2 linked regions of the Lytechinus pictus genome follow. The protein of the gene in region 1 interacts with the protein of each later gene in a pairwise test. Links are inferred from orthologs where the notes say so. Each region holds a gene or a part of one and is shown on either strand. Other genes may lie near its edges.

Region 1 (9,083 bases):
AGCTAATATTGAACCATTAAAATATTTTCTTTTTGCTTATTTACCAAATATACATGAATTTTTGTATAAATTTGAAATGTATGCATACAACCTCTTACATAAGACTAACTAAACAGTTCACACACAACTAGCTCTCAATCATCAAGATGTCAGGTCATGGAAAGGGGGAAAGAATCTCAGAAACCATAATCAGTTTCTACAAGACAACATCCAACATATCATCAAGAAATACTTACAACTGTGCATTTATTTGATGAAAAGCTGATAGGGTATCAGAGTGAGAAGGTGCTGTTGTGTGTTCTGAGTCTCTTCCCTCCTCCTGCTCCTCCTCCTCATCATCCTTCTCAATGTCTGTACTCTCATCCATATCCATCTCACTATCATCGCTCGTTCTGATTCGCTCATTCTTGCCATCACTGTCACTAAACGCCTTGAAGACGGATGAGTATACAGTTTTCACGACTTCAGAAAAGTGCATTGGAGTGCGATAGAAGAGAAGTGCCTTCACAAGAACATCAAAGCGCTCTTTAAGATCCTGACCCTCAACGGAAAGGTAGCCAGTAAGCAGATTGAGACTGTTGGTGTATGGAATGAGAGAGGAGTGGAGAATGTTTATTCCACGGGTGAGGCAATCCAAGCAGAGCGTTGTGGACGAAGTGTCGTCAATCTTGAAGGTTGACCAGTAGTTTGGCGCAATCCTGCTCTGTAGATCTTGCTGGAAGGTCTCCATGAACCATTCCGTAACAAGGGTCCCTAATCCTTGGTCCTGCAGGAACTCCATCGCCGGCTTGATCCTTGCATCCCTCCCATCATCATCATCCTGTAAATGGAAAAAAAAAGTCATTAGCACTCCTCAGGAAGTATTTATTTTTAATTCTCTCTATGAGCAGCACTTGCCATTTAGTTCATTGTTTGTTTTCTTAAAGGGAATTTTCTTCTTTTTATATACAAGGTCTAGATCTATCATCTACAGACCATCAACAGAGATGCGTGGCCAATATGGGAAACAATCTCCCATATTTGCTTTACAAAAGAAAACAAGATACTGCATCATTACCAAGGCAATTTTCTCCCAAACATAATTTTGTCTAAGATTGAGGTCATATTAGAATAACTGTCTTCGGGGGATTTTTTTTTAAAATTTCATGTCTGTTTCAGTCTACAGTCACGTCAGAAACCCATTCGCATTTCACTTGAAGTCTGCAACCACCTTGTCTATTTGCAACACAACACTTAAAAAAAAGTATTTTGACAATAATATGGATCTATTCAATAACAGAAATACTTTTCTTTCATTATAATCTTGGTGAATATTTTTGTGTTGTTGTTCAACGGTGAGCTCCAGTGCCGGCCTCACAGAAACGTTGTTAGCCTTACATAGCGCTAACAGTAAGCCCAGTCACATCTTTCAGATTGTGAAGTCAAAATATTTATTTGTGTTTACAAGTAATGTATTGTTGTAACATTTGCCATCGCTACCACATAACCAGTTGAAACAGGGCCTCTGTTAGCGCATTGTTAGTGCTAACAAGACGCACATCCTCTGATATGCATCTTGTAGCTTGGCGAAGGACAAAAGAGAACAAGATGGCGACGTAAACATTGGCAAGGTTTTCCCCAGTCTTCTCGCGATATTTCTCTCGTTTTTTTTAATGAATTTTTTGTTCAACAAGTTGAATGCCTCTGGCGGTCTCACCTGCATCACGCGATTCAATATAGCAGCAGTGCTGACTTTGAAAAACAACCTTTTAATAATTATTCACAAAAAGAACCCATTCATATGATACAATACTACGTTCATTGACATTTGACCTTGATGTGACCTAAAACTTGTCAGTGATACTTGATTACCCCTATATCCACATTTTATACAGTTATATAAACTTTGAAAGTTATGACAGCAATCTAATAATTACCTCTAAAATGGCCAAAGTTCAATGACCTTAAATGACCTTTGAGTTTGGTCATGTGAACTCTTATGTCTACGTTTTATGAACTAGACCAATAAAATTACAGAGTTATGATGGTAATTTGACAACAAATACCCCCAACATGGCCAATATCCATTGACCTTTGACCTTGGTCATGTGACCTGAAACTCGCACAAGATGTTCAGTGATACTTGGTTACTCTCATGTCCACGTTTTATGATCTAGACCAATACACTTACAGAGATATGGTAATTCAACAAAAAAAAAAAACATGGCCAAAGTTCATTGACCCTAAATGACCTTTGAATTTGGTCATGTGACCTGAAACTCACTGAGATGTTCACTGATACTTGACGACTCTTATGTCCAAGATTCATGAGTCAGATCCATAAACTTTCAAAGTTATGATGGTAATTCAACAGATACCCCCATTATGGCCAAAGTTCATTGACCTTTGACCTTGGTCATGTGACCTGAAAGGCGCACAGGATGTTCAGTGATACTTGATTACTCTTATGTCCAAGTTTTATGAACTAGACCAATATACTTTCAAAGTTATGATGGTAATTCAACAAATACCCCTAATTTGGCCAAAGTTCATTGACCCTAAATGAGCTTTGACCTTAATCATGTGACCTGAAACTTGCACAGGATGTTCAGTGATACTTGATTACTATTATGTCCAAGTTTCATGAATCAGATCCATAAACTTTCAAAGTTATGATGGTAATTCAACAGATACCCCCAACTTGGCCAAAGTTCATTGGCCCTAAATGACCTTTGACCTTGGTCATGTGATGTGAAACTCATGCAGGATGTTCAGTAATACTTGATTAACCTTATGGCCAAGTTTGATGAACTAGGTCCATATATTTTCTAAGTTATGTTGACATTTCAAAAACTTAACCTTAGGTTAAGATTTTGATGTTGATTCCCCCGACATGGTCTAAGTTCATTGACCCTAAATGACCTTTGACCTTAGTCATGTGACATGAAACTCAGGCAGGATGTTCAGTAATACTTGATTAACCTTATGGCCAAGTTTCATGAACTAGGTCCATATACTTTCTAAGTTATGCTGTCATTTCAAAAACTTAACCTTTGGTTAAGATTTGGGGTTGACGTCTCCGCCGTCGGAAAAGCGGCGCCTATAGTCTCACTCTGCTATGCAGGTGAGACAAAAATGGAATCAATATCGTATAAATGTCGGAAATGAAGTTGTATCCCATTTACATGATTTAAGGCTAGATCTTAGAAGGAAAGTAGGAATTCTGGGGGCGAAAATTTCAATTTTTTTTGTGGTACAAGCACATGAATGGGACGCAATCCCCGACTCCGTGGAGAGCACACGTTAGTGAATGATTTTTACTCTCTAGGAGCCTCCTGGCTATGTCCACCCTCCACACACGTTAATCAGTTGTTTTTAAAAACCAGTAAAAGTAATCTCAAAGGAATGATCGGAAGCACTAATACAGGATTACCTACTTCTTCTGTACAATGATGATGATGATTTAATTATCTTTGCCACGGCATCACATCAGTCTTTGTCCTTGTTTAAAGTTAAGCGGCCTTGCCCAGCCCTTGCCAAGGATATTAATTAAGTCTACGTCTACGCATCTGGGGCAGAGTTGGGCTCAATAACTTTCTTCAATTACAATTACCAATTACTTTTATCAATTACAATTTCAATTACTTTTAATAAAGTCATAAATGAAATCAATTCATATTTTAAATGTAGTGCCACCCATTTCAACATAATTATAAGTTAGAGAGAAACTGACATGAAGGTTTTATTAGTTTAGAGAGCATTGATCCTGCCTATTGCTCTGTTTCAATTGAAATTCTCAATAAAATGTAGATCTGCATGCTTTCTTCATATGTAGAAATCATAATGTACAACATGTAAACTTGACTTTGAGTCGTGCAAAGGGCGGATCCAGCTTTCACCTATAGGGGAGGGGGCAGTAAAAAAAGTATTTTTCATCCACATTTTTCGCAATCACCCACTTAAAGCTGATTTTTTTTTTTTTTGAGGGGGGTAGGCTATTCCAAATTTAAGTATACAGATTTAACATCTAACATTTATTGTTACAAACAAATGAGGCCACTGCATGAAATTATAATATAAGAAATGTAGCTTTGCTAATATGAAAAATTACATAGTTTGATTTCTCAATTCTTGTTGGAACCTATGAGTATGACCTTTTGCAAAATTTCTCAAATATTTCAAATGGTCAAGTGTCTCCTCTTTCCTCTACATATTAATGGGAAAGGATAGGCCTACAGTTGCATGCAAAAGATATTACTTTTATAGCTATGGGAAAAGAGAAATAAGCAATCCAGAGTAAATTAAATAATAAAGTAAGTAGATCTAGGCCTAATAAAGACAATGTAATTGAAAGTAGATCTAATCATAAGCCCGGATTAAAAGTAATCGACAGTAATTGAAGTCAAACAATTTTTCAATTACTAACTTATTACTTTCCCTAGTTTGGCTTTAGATCTAGATCTAATTCATGAATTGCTTTGCTTTGTAAAAATTGTAATTGAGCCCAACCCTGATCTGGGGCCTAGCTATAGTAGATCATAGTTGTTTTTAAATCATTCATCATAAATATGGAACTCGGGGCTCTTGACTCAAGTTTAGAAGTTGAGTCTTGGCTGGCAGAGTACGCAGCCGGCAGAAGATAAGCTCGTCCGCACAGCCACAGCTCAGCCCGGTCGCTCCCCCATACAGCCCGACCCCGAAGATGAGCCCGAGCTCTTCCATGTCTAAGTTCTGGCAGGATTTTATCAAGTGACATTTAAGCCATTGTTTGATCACAATTTATATCTTTCTACAACAATTCAATCAAATAATCTCACACAATTACTAGATATCATGTAATTATCTACGATAAAATACGATTTCATTGGTCTCACCGTATGGAAAGTGATGTTTGAGAGACATTTTGTGACTTCATCCCAAGCTAAATTGACTGAAGTATATGCAGCCATATTCAAACCAATCAGAAATTGGCGCTCAGTCTATATTATGAAGCAATCAAAATTTCAAGTAAATAATTCATAAACTATATTTTCAGATTGAAAATAATATATATATTCTTTAGTATTTTTTGAGAATGACAAATTGATCAATATATTGGTATTAAAAAAATAAAATCTAATCATATTAACAAGTGAATTGTAATCATTGTACCTTTTTCCAATATGGCACCTTCCATGGAAGAAAAAATTGAGAGTGTCACCTCATATAATTTGCGGCCCTTAGTCCTCCATGGATATATTTTCCCATTTATATTTATATACATTGCATGGCTATATCTTTTGGTGGTTGCCTATGGGGTCAGTGAATATTTGGAAGCTGGATTGATCGTTTTAGCAGCCATAGGATGTGTCCAAATTTTGGTCTGCTTGTTCTGCCATTGGTCAATACACGTGAGGTGTTCGCTCACATGCAGGAAGGTACGTAAATCAACGAGCTCTGCCTCGCCGCCGGAGGAGCCCGGCGCCGGTTGGGGCCGCGGCGCGGCAGGGCTTTCAATCTGCGACGGCCGACGGGAGAAATCTTGGGGCCGATTGCACGAAAGGGTCTTTCCAAGGACCGTCTTTCGTGTCGCCCATCTTTTATGATACGCCATGTGAAACGCATTTCAAATAAATTATCTGCAAATAGGCCTATATTTTATTTGTCCGTTAAAATAAACAAAATATTTGTTTATAAAATGATCTGATATCTCATGAAATTTTATAAAATTTGATTTAAAAGCAAGCTTACGAATTTTATTTGTTCATCATAAATTTCAGAAACACCACCCTGCTTATAGCGCATCATAAAAGATGGGCGACACGAAAGACGGTCCTTGGAAAGACCCTTTCGTGCAATCGGCCCCTGGACGGTAACTGAAAACTATCTGCGCATGTGCGACCGACCTAATTATCACTAACCAGCAAGCGCAAGCTGTACTTTGTAGTGGATTGTATTATCGAACACTTTTCTATGAATTCAATCATATCAAACACATTATTGTCATAAAATTCATCAATCTTTCACCATACTCATAAAAAAATATATAGATACACAATTACCGTACCTACAAAATATAAATATGTAAAAATTTTGCTAAAATCTTTTTTCTTTTTTACGATATTAGCTTCCAATCAGTACAGGTGCACGGCCAATATGGGAGACTCTCTCCAATGTGGAAGATAATCTCCCATATTAGAGACTTGCTTTGCAAAAGAACAAAAGAAACGACACCAACAAAATTAAAAGCATAATTTTTTCCACCCAAAATTTTGTCCCGCTGAGGTCAGAAGCCCATTTGTTTTGTGTGTGGATGACAACAAAAATCCTTATCAAAACAAAAGTAGACGGTGAATTTTTAAAGTAGACGGTGAAAAGGGGTACCGTAAGTAACGGTGTATTAACCGCACCCGTGTATAAACCGCACCCCCAACTTTGGACTAAAAAAAAAAAAAAAAAAAAAAAAAAAAAAAAAAAAAAAACCTCACATTTACATGCATATTTGAGGTACGAAGAAACAAAAACTAAGTTAAAGATTTCAAAGTATTCAAAGAGATTACCAGTGTGCAGAAATCTGCTGTTCTTGATCAATTCATCTACAAATGTTAGCAAGAAAGAAAGGTCCCGCCAATATTGGCAATTTACACACTCACTCACCTCACAGTCACAGCACAGTGTACACACACACAGCACTGCCTTTCTTGTACATGTACATTTCAAACTTCGATACGGTACCACTACCAGTACATCTTATCAAATTGTGATCTGTGTCTTTCACATTTCTTGCATCACAACCTCACAATCACTTTCAGAATTTGTCTAGCATTCGATGTCTTAGCATGAATTTTGGATACGGGATTACAGGAAGGTTCAAGAAACAAAGAAATTTGTATTTTTTCCAGTTGTTTGACGGCTTTGTGCCGTCTCTATCGTGCGTGGTGCACGGTGTACATGGTATCTTATGAAAAGCAAACGGGAAAGAAAAAAATAAGCTGGCGCGAAACGGGACTTTGAGGGGTTAAATTAAATGAATAGCGCCAGCTTAAGTCGCACTAAAACCAAAATACAACGCAAGCTAGCGCTAGCTCTTGGCTCTCGCTCAGCTGTGACAAATTATCACCGAGAATGCTTGGCGTCTCTATGAACTTAGCCAGGGAACTTTGCTGCTTTGAATCGAGAATAAAGTCGAAATTAGTGTCATGAAGGTGGGTGCATTTGTTACGACAGTATTTGATCATAAGATCATAATAATCGCTACCCATTACCCGCGGCTCATACCCCTCTAAACGACATTGCACTGGGCGGCTACGGCCGGCCACTCGATGTGTTGTGAACTGGCAGACTTCTTACATGTTCGGGAGGGGCTACGCGGGCGGGCTCAGACCCGTCACCGTGTATAAACCGCACCCCCGACTTTTGCTTATATCCCGCCGAGAAAAAGGTGCGGTTAATACACCGTTACTTACGGTAATTTTTTATGAGGAATCTGCTTATCACATTTTTATTTGCCGCCAAGGTAATCCTTTTGAAGCAAATGTAAACAAAGGAATTTGGCCTCCCAAACTGGAGACTGTCTCTGAAATTGGATACCCAAATTCTTTACAAAAGTCTCCGATATTGGAGATAATCTCTCTCATGGGAGACAGTCTCCAATATTGGCCGTGCGCCTCTGCTGCCAATCTGACCCCTCTTCGCATGTGAAATATTTTGGTCACTTGAAAAAGGTATCGTATTACCGAATGTGTGTTTTCTATAATTGAGAAAACAACAAAATCACTGATGAGCTATTTTGACCATATTTTATTATTTTTAGAATATTAAGACTTTTGAAAATGTGATTTTGACAATTTTTCATCATCTTTCTATTCAAGTTCTGTTTGGAAGGATGTTGCAAAGTTTTGAGTGGATGAAATGATATACTGACGCGTATGATGCGCGCGTTTGGTAATACAAGCCGGTCGGTAATACAATCACTCACTCTATAGCACTTACCAGTGGTCGTGCGTCCGGACAGGTTGTGTGTCCAGTCAAGCGGCAAGCCCTGAAAAAGTAGCTTCTTTTATCTAGGTGATATTCATGACTAGAGGGTTTTTGCATTGTTAATGAGCTTGGTGCCTCTTTTTATCTTTCAAAAAAAAAATCTTAAAATCCATATTTTATACATGTAGTTCAAAATAGACACCAGAAATGAATTACTCCGAAAATTTGTTTTGCCCAATTGATCGTGGGCCCGGCAGCCACTGTGCAGCGCCAGATCGACGAGGCTCTATCCCTTTAATTGTTGAACGCCAAACAGGGTAGCAGCAACTCCCATCTTTTAACGTCTTTTGGTCTGACGCGGCCGGGGTTTGAACCCCCGACCTCCCGGTTGTGAGACGGACGCTCTACCAACTGAGCCAACACACCGGTTATTGGTGCTCTAAATATTGACAAAATTTCATGTTTTTGGTATCTTTGTAAAGAAGAAGAATCATTCTTTCAGGTCATGTGTTTGGATTTTTAAAAAGATTGTGTAATATAGGTGAAACTTTTGATCTAAAACACAATAGAAAGTAATTATTTTCATGCAACAAAAGTTGTTATTTTTCCACATAATTTCTGTTTGAGCCCAAATGATTTTTAGATTATGATAAAGCTGAAGATCTAAGCTTTAATATGATATAATTTTTAAAAGAAGAGGTATTTTAGATGGGTCAGCAGCCAGCTTTTCATAGGCCAAGTACATTTACCAGCTCAAAAACAAGAATACTGCGCTCTGATTGGTCATAGAGACCACACACCCACGCAAATTCCAATGTTCCCCAGGCCTTATCTCTTCAAATAATACCTTCGCCTGTTTTGAAAACATTATTCAGCCAATCAGAACTCTGGATTTTATGCTACTCAAAAAATTCAGAAATCTCGTCTTGCATCTTGATGGAAAAAGCTGGCTGCTGACCCATCTAAAAGATGCCACATATCAAGAGTGACATTGTAAGAAAGTATAGAATTTGAGCTTTCTGATGATATAAATAATGTTTGTGCCGAAAACACAAAATTTTGCACAATTCGCAAGTGAAAATAGAGGAAGAAAATTCTGTTTGAGGCATCTTTTCAGGTCAAATATTCACTTATTTATCAAAATA
Region 2 (8,823 bases), on another chromosome or scaffold:
CGTGGGAGACATGATCAGATTACAAGAGCTTGGATATCGTCATGTCTACATCTTTTAGAAGATGATCAGACGACAAGATCTTGGATCTTGACAACCAAGCCTGCTGCTCCGCCGACGACCAAGCCTACCACACCACTCACAACCCAAGCTGCCGCATCCCCCACACCTGACATCGCCGCACCGCCGACACAACGATGCCGCTATAATCTCTGCCCACGCCTATCAAACATACACCAAGGAACTTCACAGCCGACCCGGCCCGCCACCAATTCCTCCAACGTCCGCACTCACGCCAACACAAATCCACGAAGTCATAGCGCCACCACTGACCACCCGCCGCCGACCCGACCGGCCACCGATTCCTGCGACGTCTGCTTTCTCACCATAAGTAACCCTGCTTGTTTAGCATCCTTTACTCCTGAAGACGGAGAGTCAGCCTGCCCGAAACGTCGAATAACCTCTCTTCACTTCATCCTGCTACTACTCAAACCATCGCTATTCAAGCCATATTCAGCTCATCTCATCTGGTTTACAGTCCTTTTCAGGCCTTCACTCACTTTCACGAAAAGAATACTTCTAATTTCCTCTTTTCATCCTATCTCGTCTTTCCATTTCAATCTTTCTGCCTGTATTTCCTTCCCTTCTTCATATTACACGTGGTGAACTGTAAACCTTCTCCACATTATAAACTCCAGTACTCCACCATACAAACCTACAAAGATCATCTTGGATCTTGTTATGTCTACATCCATTGGAAGAGATGATATTACATCTTTTACTTCCCTAATTATCTCCTCACCATGATAATACTTTAGAATCACGTACGAGAGCTAGGTAATATTGCCGTTGTATTATTCAAAATTGTTGTAAATATTGCTTTGATTTGAACTAATGGGAGCCGGGGGGGGGGGGGGGCGCAGGGTTGGCTTCTATATTATGTTTGTGGAAGTGGCCGGGGAATAATTTTGTACGAAATGTCCTTTATTTTGTGTTTAATATACAGCGAGTAACTGACTGGGGTTACTATAATGGGCAAACCAATATTCCCCAAACCTTGACAACTATATCATTATAAAGACAATGTTACACAATCTTGACCTAAACTTGACTTTTGGTAATTCAGCAAAGAAATAATAATCCTCGAAAATAAAATCATGTATGTGTCAGGTAAATTCCCAGCATTTTTATATATCGGTAAACTATCAATTTCACAGTTCAAGTGTCAAAATTAAACACTAAAACTGAACAATGGTCAATTGCAAGGGGAGAAGATATGTGGAATATACCACCGGACACCAGTATGGGATCGCGGAAAAGGTTACTCAACTAGGATTGCTACACTCCTACTTAGACTTATTGTTATGTATTATTTACACAACAATATGACAAAATAACCATTCTTCGGGCGAACAATTAGTAAGTTATTTGAATCTAATGATTTTTTTTACAAATATAACAAAAATTTACCGGATTTCAAATGCCTGCCATTTCTTTAAAAAAACTAGGAAAAAAAATCCACCAACGTTATCAGTTAGCATGGTTAGGGAAAATTCTAGCAAATGTACTACAGTGCTTTTTCAATGTATTAAAATTTAAGTAAATATTAAAAAATAAGGATTTTGCAAAGTTAGGCTTATATCAAATTTCTGCTAATATATTTTGGGAAGTTTGTATCACTCATCAAAATGACTGATAATTCGAAGTCTTTCCCACATTTGCTTGTAAACTCGGTATAGTGGGTGATTGCATTACCGACCGGCCTTGACCTTGTATTACCGAACGCGCGCATCGTACGCGTCAGAAAATAATTTCATACGCTCAAACTTTGCTACATCCTTCCAAAGGAAACTTGAATAGAAATGATAAAAAATGGTAAAAAACACTTTTTTCACTCTTAATATTCTAAAAATAATAAAATATGGTCAAACTCAAAGTAGCTCATCAGCATGATCAGTGATTTTGTTGTTTTCTCAACTTTTTCCATAGAAAAAACACATTTTCGGTAATACGATACCTTTTTCAAGTGACCAAAAAATTAATGTGTAGAGGGGTTCGATTGGAAGCTAATACTAATAGTAATATCGTAAAAGGGAAAAACGATTTCGGCAAAATTTTTACATGTTTATATTTTGTAGGTAATTGTGTATTTATGGTGAAAGTTTGGTGAATTTTATGAGAATAATGTGTTTGATATGATTGAATTCATGAAAAGTGTTTGTAATGTAAATGATAAACATTTATGATTCATATTCAGACTCATAGTCATATTCTAGACCAAAAGCTTCGGTCTCTAGTGTTATGTTGGTTGTTCAGCTGAACTCCGTTGGCTTCACTCACCAAATACAGAGACCGAAGTTCTAGCGCGATCTGTACAGGGGACTCAATGGCCATATGTTTATGTGTGTTAAGGACGTTCCACAGTTATGTTTGTGCGCATTATGATCTGCGCATAGTTTACACTCTGCGCGCTGACGTCACAATGGATGAACAGGTGATTAATTAGCTGCGGGTATGAGCTGATTTTTCTCATCTTCTGCACTTTAACTGCAGATCCGATGCATTATTTCATGAAGCTAAAAACTGAAATTATTCCATGGACCATTCAAAAACAAATTCTCTACAATTTCAAAATACTTTACTCTGCAGTGCTGCCAAGAATCACGAATATTAAACCGAGTTTGAATGAATGGTATAGTGGTTTTGATTTTTTCTTCACATAGATACAAAGCATTCGGCGCATTTTTGGTGTTTTAAAAAGCACATTTGCTCTAATAAAAATGCTGATAGTTTAAAAACAAGCACATGAACCCCTATTTTTTAATGTTTGTACCTCTTAGGTATACCTTCCTCTACAACTCTGCAAATTCTGGTGAAAATGACATGGATTTTGAATAAAGTGCAGCATTTATTGTACTTTTGTAGTTTGTTACTAAAAATTTCACATTTTTTAGATTGGGATTTTGTTATCTTTTACCCCATTTTTAAGAACTGACAGTGCTGTTAAACTTAAAATTGCAAACAAATAGCACTATAAATAGATTATCCATTCTAACGATACAATTATTAACTCTCTTGCGAAATTTGATGACTTTTTCATGTATTTTGACTGAGTAATAGAGGTTTAAACTCATTGTAGTAATCTTGGGCGGTCTAAAAATGCCAAATTCTTTCGAATGCGCAATTCTTAAGAACATCAATTTGGGTGAACTTTGAAGCTCTATAGCAAAAAATCAAGCACATGGACCTATGTTGTATTTTGCACATTTCGAATAGTAAGGTTCTAAAGTATCTATGTGCAAAGTTTGGTGAAAATGACATGGATTTCACTTTAACTGTGGAACGTCCTTAAGTATGGATAAAACAGGGCAGTGAAGTTGCGCGACAGCCGAGGTAAGTCACTGTTTTTGTTCCTTTTAACTTGATTTTCCCCGTTTTTTCGCAATTAATGCCAAGAGGGAATGTTAATTTGCATTTCGGTCGCGTTAATTTTCAAAAGTTTGATTCATTAAAGACAAAAATTGAAGAGCCCCGACGGGGGGATTTTGCATTGTAAGTCCCCTAATGGTGGCTGCACGATAGCGAGCCATCTGTGTATGAGGAGAAATTTAAAAAATAAAAAAATGTTAAAAAACTCCTCGAAACAGACGGCTGCCAGCTGTCTAAGTCATATTCATACTCAGTCATAATCACTCATACTTAGCCTTACTAAATTTCAACGATAATGACGATTCCATTGTTTTTAGCATTTTTTTAAGGATTTTAATATCGCAGACATTTTGGAGAGGGAGCAAAGCGATGCTTACAAGTGTTGCTTACAAGATTGCTTGGCGAGAGGAGAAGGCCTAGGCTAGTTTCAATGGCGCGCTCCGCTGAGTTGATTGAGGCCGTTACGTGGCAGAGGCCTAGCCCTACGCTACAGACTTCCATGCCGAAGCAGCCCGACATCGACAACAACGGGCGAGCGAACGGGTGGTGTATGCTGCAAACCGGCGAACTGGACACACGGTCATCATGAGACATGACGATTTAGACTTGAATTGAGCCGAGGGTAGGCTAGCTTTATGCGGCTCAGTCAGACTATTCTTACGGGATACCATGGCTTGTGATGTAACTTACTTTTCACCTTGACTTTCATCTTTGTCTTTAACGTTAAGAACGGATTTGACTCCCTGTCTTGAGCAATCCCAGGTACCGGTACACTTGCGATCGATCGCTGCGCGCTGGAAGTCGGCGCGGCTAGCTAGCTATCGGCGGAACCTTCGCTCGTGATCCGTTTGAAAATTGGTAGGCACTTATGATCCAAGTTTGAAAGGAGACTCGTAAAATGACGTCAGTCTCGCCGATGAATATTCATTAGATCGTGGTCGTGCGTGTTCAATACACACTGCGTGCAGGCATGCAGATAGTTATATGCGAGGAACTTTGGCTCCAGAGACAAGTTGTCAAATAACGTGTGTGTGTGTGCGTGTGTGTACCATCGGCTGGTAGTATGCCATGCTGTCTAAGACTTCAAACGCGTCGGAGAGAGTGCATGGCAATTCGGTAAAACGAAGTTTCCGATATAAAGAGATAATAAAATAACACTATGTACAGTACGCCCGGGGGGCCACTTACATTGACGAGTGGATACCATGCGCGACCAAAAAAAACACGTAAAAAGGATGTCTTTTTCAAGAGAGGGCACGTTACGTACGTAACGTGATAAGGGTGTCAAAAACACAAAAATATTGAAAAAAGGGTATCTATTTCCAGTACGTTGAGAGGCAAATGTCAGATCAGGGGAGGCAGGAGTACAATCAGGTTTTTTAAAGGGAAGAATAGTGTAGAATAAAAGGTATTATATATAGCCAAATGATCTAGGTGAGGGAAGTGAACAATGATATGTTTTTAAAAAAAAGAATGAATATACCTTACCTGAATATTATGGTGAAGCCAATTTAAAAGGAGGTGAGACAAGTTTCAATGGAGGTTTTAAAAAAGAATAAACTGTATTATATGGTGAAGCCAATTTAAAAGGAGGTGAGGCAAGTTTTAATGGAGGTTTTTAAAAAGAATAAACTGTATTATGGTGAAGCCAATTTAAAAGGAGGTGAGGCAAGTTTCAATGGAGGTTTTTAAAAAGAATAAACTGTACTACAAATTATGGTGAAGCCAATTTAAAAGGAGGTGAGGCAAGTTTCAATTGAGGTTTTTAAAAAGAATAAACTGTACTACAAATTTAAAAGGAGGCGAGGCAAGTTTCAATGGAGGTTTTTAAAAAAGAATAAACTGTACTACAAATTATGGTGAAGCCAATTCAAAAGGAGGTGAGGCAAGTTTCAATGGAGGTTTTAAAAAAAGAATAAACTGCACTACAAATTATGGTGAAGCCAATTTAAAAGGAGGTGAGGCAAGTTTTAATGGAAGTTTTTAAAAAGAATAAACTGTATTATGGTGAAGCCAATTTAAGAGGAGGTGAGGCAAGTTTCAATGGAGGTTTTTAAAAAGAATAAACTGTATTATGGTGAAGCCAATTTAAAAGGAGGTGAGGCAAGTTTTAATGGAGGTTTTTAAAAAGAATAAACTGTATTATGGTGAAGCCAATTCAAAAGGAGGTGAGGCAAGTTTCAATGGAGGTTTTTAAAAAGAATAAACTGTACTACAAATTATATGGTGAAGCCAATTTAAAAGGAGGTGAGGCAAGTTTCAATTGAGGTTTTTAAAAAGAATAAACTGTACTACAAATTTAAAAGGAGGCGAGGCAAGTTTCAATGGAGGTTTTTAAAAAAGAATAAACTGTACTACAAATTATGGTGAAGCCAATTCAAAAGGAGGTGAGGCAAGTTTCAATGGAGGTTTTAAAAAAAGAATAAACTGTACTACAAATTATGGTGAAGCCAATTTAAAAGGAGGTGAGGCAAGTTTCAATTGAGGTTTTTAAAAAGAATAAACTGTACTACAAATTTAAAAGGAGGCGAGGCAAGTTTCAATGGAGCTAGGTTTTTAAAAAAGAATAAACTGTACTACAAATTATGGTGAAGCCAATTCAAAAGGAGGTGAGGCAAGTTTCAATGGAGGTTTTAAAAAAAGAATAAACTGTACTACAAATTATGGTGAAGCCAATTTAAAAGGAGGTGAGGCAAGTTTCAATGGAGGTTTTTAAAAAAGAATAGACTGTACTACAAATTTGAAAGGAGGTGAGGCAAGTTTCAATGGAGGTTTTTAAAAAGAATAAACTGTACTACAAATTATGGTGAAGCCAATTTAAAAGGAGGTGAGGCAAGCCTCAATGGAGGTATTTAAAAAGAATAAACTGTATTATGGTGAAGCCAATTTAAAAGGAGGTGAGGCAAGTTTCAATGGAGGTTTTAAAAAAATAATTAACTGTACTACAAATTATGGTGAAGCCAATTTAAAAGGAGGTGAGGCATACATATGTAATGTCTTTCAAGCTGTATGACAAAAATATTCTTTTCCATCCAACATCAGCTTCTACTATTTTTTAAGGTTAGTTTTTATTGTCATGTTGGCAAATTGTGAAATAGTTCATGTTGAAATATGTTGTATTACCTGTCATGCATTTGTAATGTTATTTTTTTAGCATATATTCTGTCATCATTTTCAGTACATAAAAGTTTATTCAATGTATGCCTTTACCAAAGTTGGCCATAAGCACAGTGGGACCAACTATCACTGAAGACAACACAACAATTACTCAAAATATATGCATAGCCTTATGAATGTACAAGTCAATAAAATCTACTATGACTACATTGCTTTTTTTTGTGCAACACAGTCATATTTCACTTGGATCAATTCAAAATTGAGTGGTGTTTTGGGGGTAATGCTATGGTAACTGCAGTTCTGTTGTCCTCTGACAGTTGGTGTTGTAAGGATGTGATTGGCAGTGTGTGGACGTCATGTTATAAGAGAAAAAAGTTAAAGTGAGAGTGTTGGCTTTGAAATGGACTCAACCTATGAAAGTTAAAGTTTGTGCTGCAGAAACTGGTGTGGTAGTGGGATGATAATGATGATGAGGAACAGGGCCGGTTTTCAATGCTACTCTTAAAGCCACAATTTCAAGTATATTTTACTCAGTATTTTGCAAAAGTAAAATACTTATCCATCTTTGGTATTCAATTGCATTTTTTTTGGGCTAAATATTTTGCTTAAATGTAAGTCAGCCATCTACTAGACTTAAGTCTACATATACAAAAATGATACGCACAGAAATACATTCACACATTTGGCACTATTTGGCTCAAAATTTATAACATCACAATGGGTATTAGTATTTAGTTCAATTTGGATAAGGTAAATTCTGAGATCTGATCTGCATACAAGTTTAAGCATTTTGATAAGCAAGCCAAATTGCTAAGTAAAATACTTACAAAATAAAAACTTAGAATTTAATAGGCGGCCGAGGTATTATTTTCTTCCAGAGGACATGTACAGATTTCTTGTTGACAAAGGATGACATGATGATTATTTTGCAAATATGGCTTATTAAAAAATATATTATGTATATTCCATTTCAGTGACAATTGCATTTTTGGGGAGGGGATATTACGTATTTGGGAATGGAAAAGTTCAAAATTAATGCAAACTTAACCTATTTACGCAGGGGGGGGGGGGGGCTCTGAGCTCTGCGATTTAAAAAAAAAGTCTTTTGCATGTTTTGAGACCAGTTTTGCGAAGCCCGGGTACTGGGTTCTGAAAATTACCAAACAATTTGTAAGTGCATATCAGACAAAAATGGCTCAAAATTGTGATATTTGTGTACCACGTCAATGGAATATGCGTTTTCAACCAAAATTCATGAATGCCTAATTGTTTTTAGTTTTGTTGAACTAAACTGATTTATTTTATCTGTTACGAGAGTCCGATCGAGCATCGTTGAAAAAAAACAATGCAATACAAAGGTAAAAACACAAGAAATACATTATCGAAGAACACCACAAAGAGTTTCTAAACCAAAAATTAGAACATTTGGAGCTTTATTTAGGGAGTTAGAGGAATAGGTATAGTATACTAATTATGCACAAATGAGCATAATCAATTAATAGCAATTTGCATGAAATAAATAACTACACAATTTTGTGGATTATTAAAAGCAATTGCGATCTTTCTCTTCACTATTCATTGTTTTTAGAAACCTCATTGAAGACTTGCCTCATGCACCTCTCAAGATGGCTTCATCATTTGAATTATATTCTACACTTATCATTCTTTAAAAAAAATCATTGTAGACATGCCTCACCTCCTCTCAAATTGCCTTCACCATAACTTGTAATACAGTTTATTCTTTTTAAAAACCTCCATTAACTAATTACCTCACCTCCTTTTAAATTGGCTTCACCATAATTTGTAATACAGTTTATTCTTTTTAAAAACCTCTATTGATCAACTTGCGTCGCCTCCTTTTAAATTTGTAGTACAGTTTATTCTTTTTTAAAAACCTCCATTGAAACTTGCCTCACCTCCTTTTAAACTGGCTTCACCATAATACAGTTTATTCTTTTTAAAAACCTCCATTAAAACTTGCCTCACCTCCTTTTAAATTGGCTTCACCATAATACAGTTTATTCTTTTTAAATACCTCCATTGAGGCTTGCCTCACCTCCTTTTAAATTGGCTTCACCATAATTTGTAGTACAGTTTATTCTTTTTAAAAACCTCCATTGAAACTTGCCTCACCTCCTTTCAAATTTGTAGTACAGTTTATTCTTTTTTAAAAACCTCCATTGAAACTTGCCTCACCTCCTTTTAAATTGGCTTCATCATAATTTGTAGTACAGTTTATTCTTTTTTTAAAACCTCCATTGAAACTTGCCTCACCTCCTT

What was found.
Region 2: the proteins of anaphase-promoting complex subunit 2-like (region 1) and anaphase-promoting complex subunit 11-like interact in a two-hybrid assay, tested with the Drosophila melanogaster proteins (2 studies listed by BioGRID). The link is inferred for Lytechinus pictus from reciprocal best matches to the Drosophila melanogaster genes mr and lmgA.

Annotation. Positions count from the first base shown.
Region 1 is NC_087259.1:2,283,013-2,292,095, reverse strand, and holds the start of anaphase-promoting complex subunit 2-like, read right to left. Parts: upstream 4,943-9,083; 5' UTR 4,929-4,942; coding exon 4,854-4,928; intron 821-4,853; coding exon 237-820; intron 1-236. Other genes in the region: endoplasmic reticulum transmembrane helix translocase-like, read left to right, coding at 5,142-5,396.
Region 2 is NC_087249.1:3,772,751-3,781,573, forward strand, and holds the start of anaphase-promoting complex subunit 11-like, read right to left. Parts: upstream 4,224-8,823; 5' UTR 4,136-4,223; coding exon 4,095-4,135; intron 1-4,094.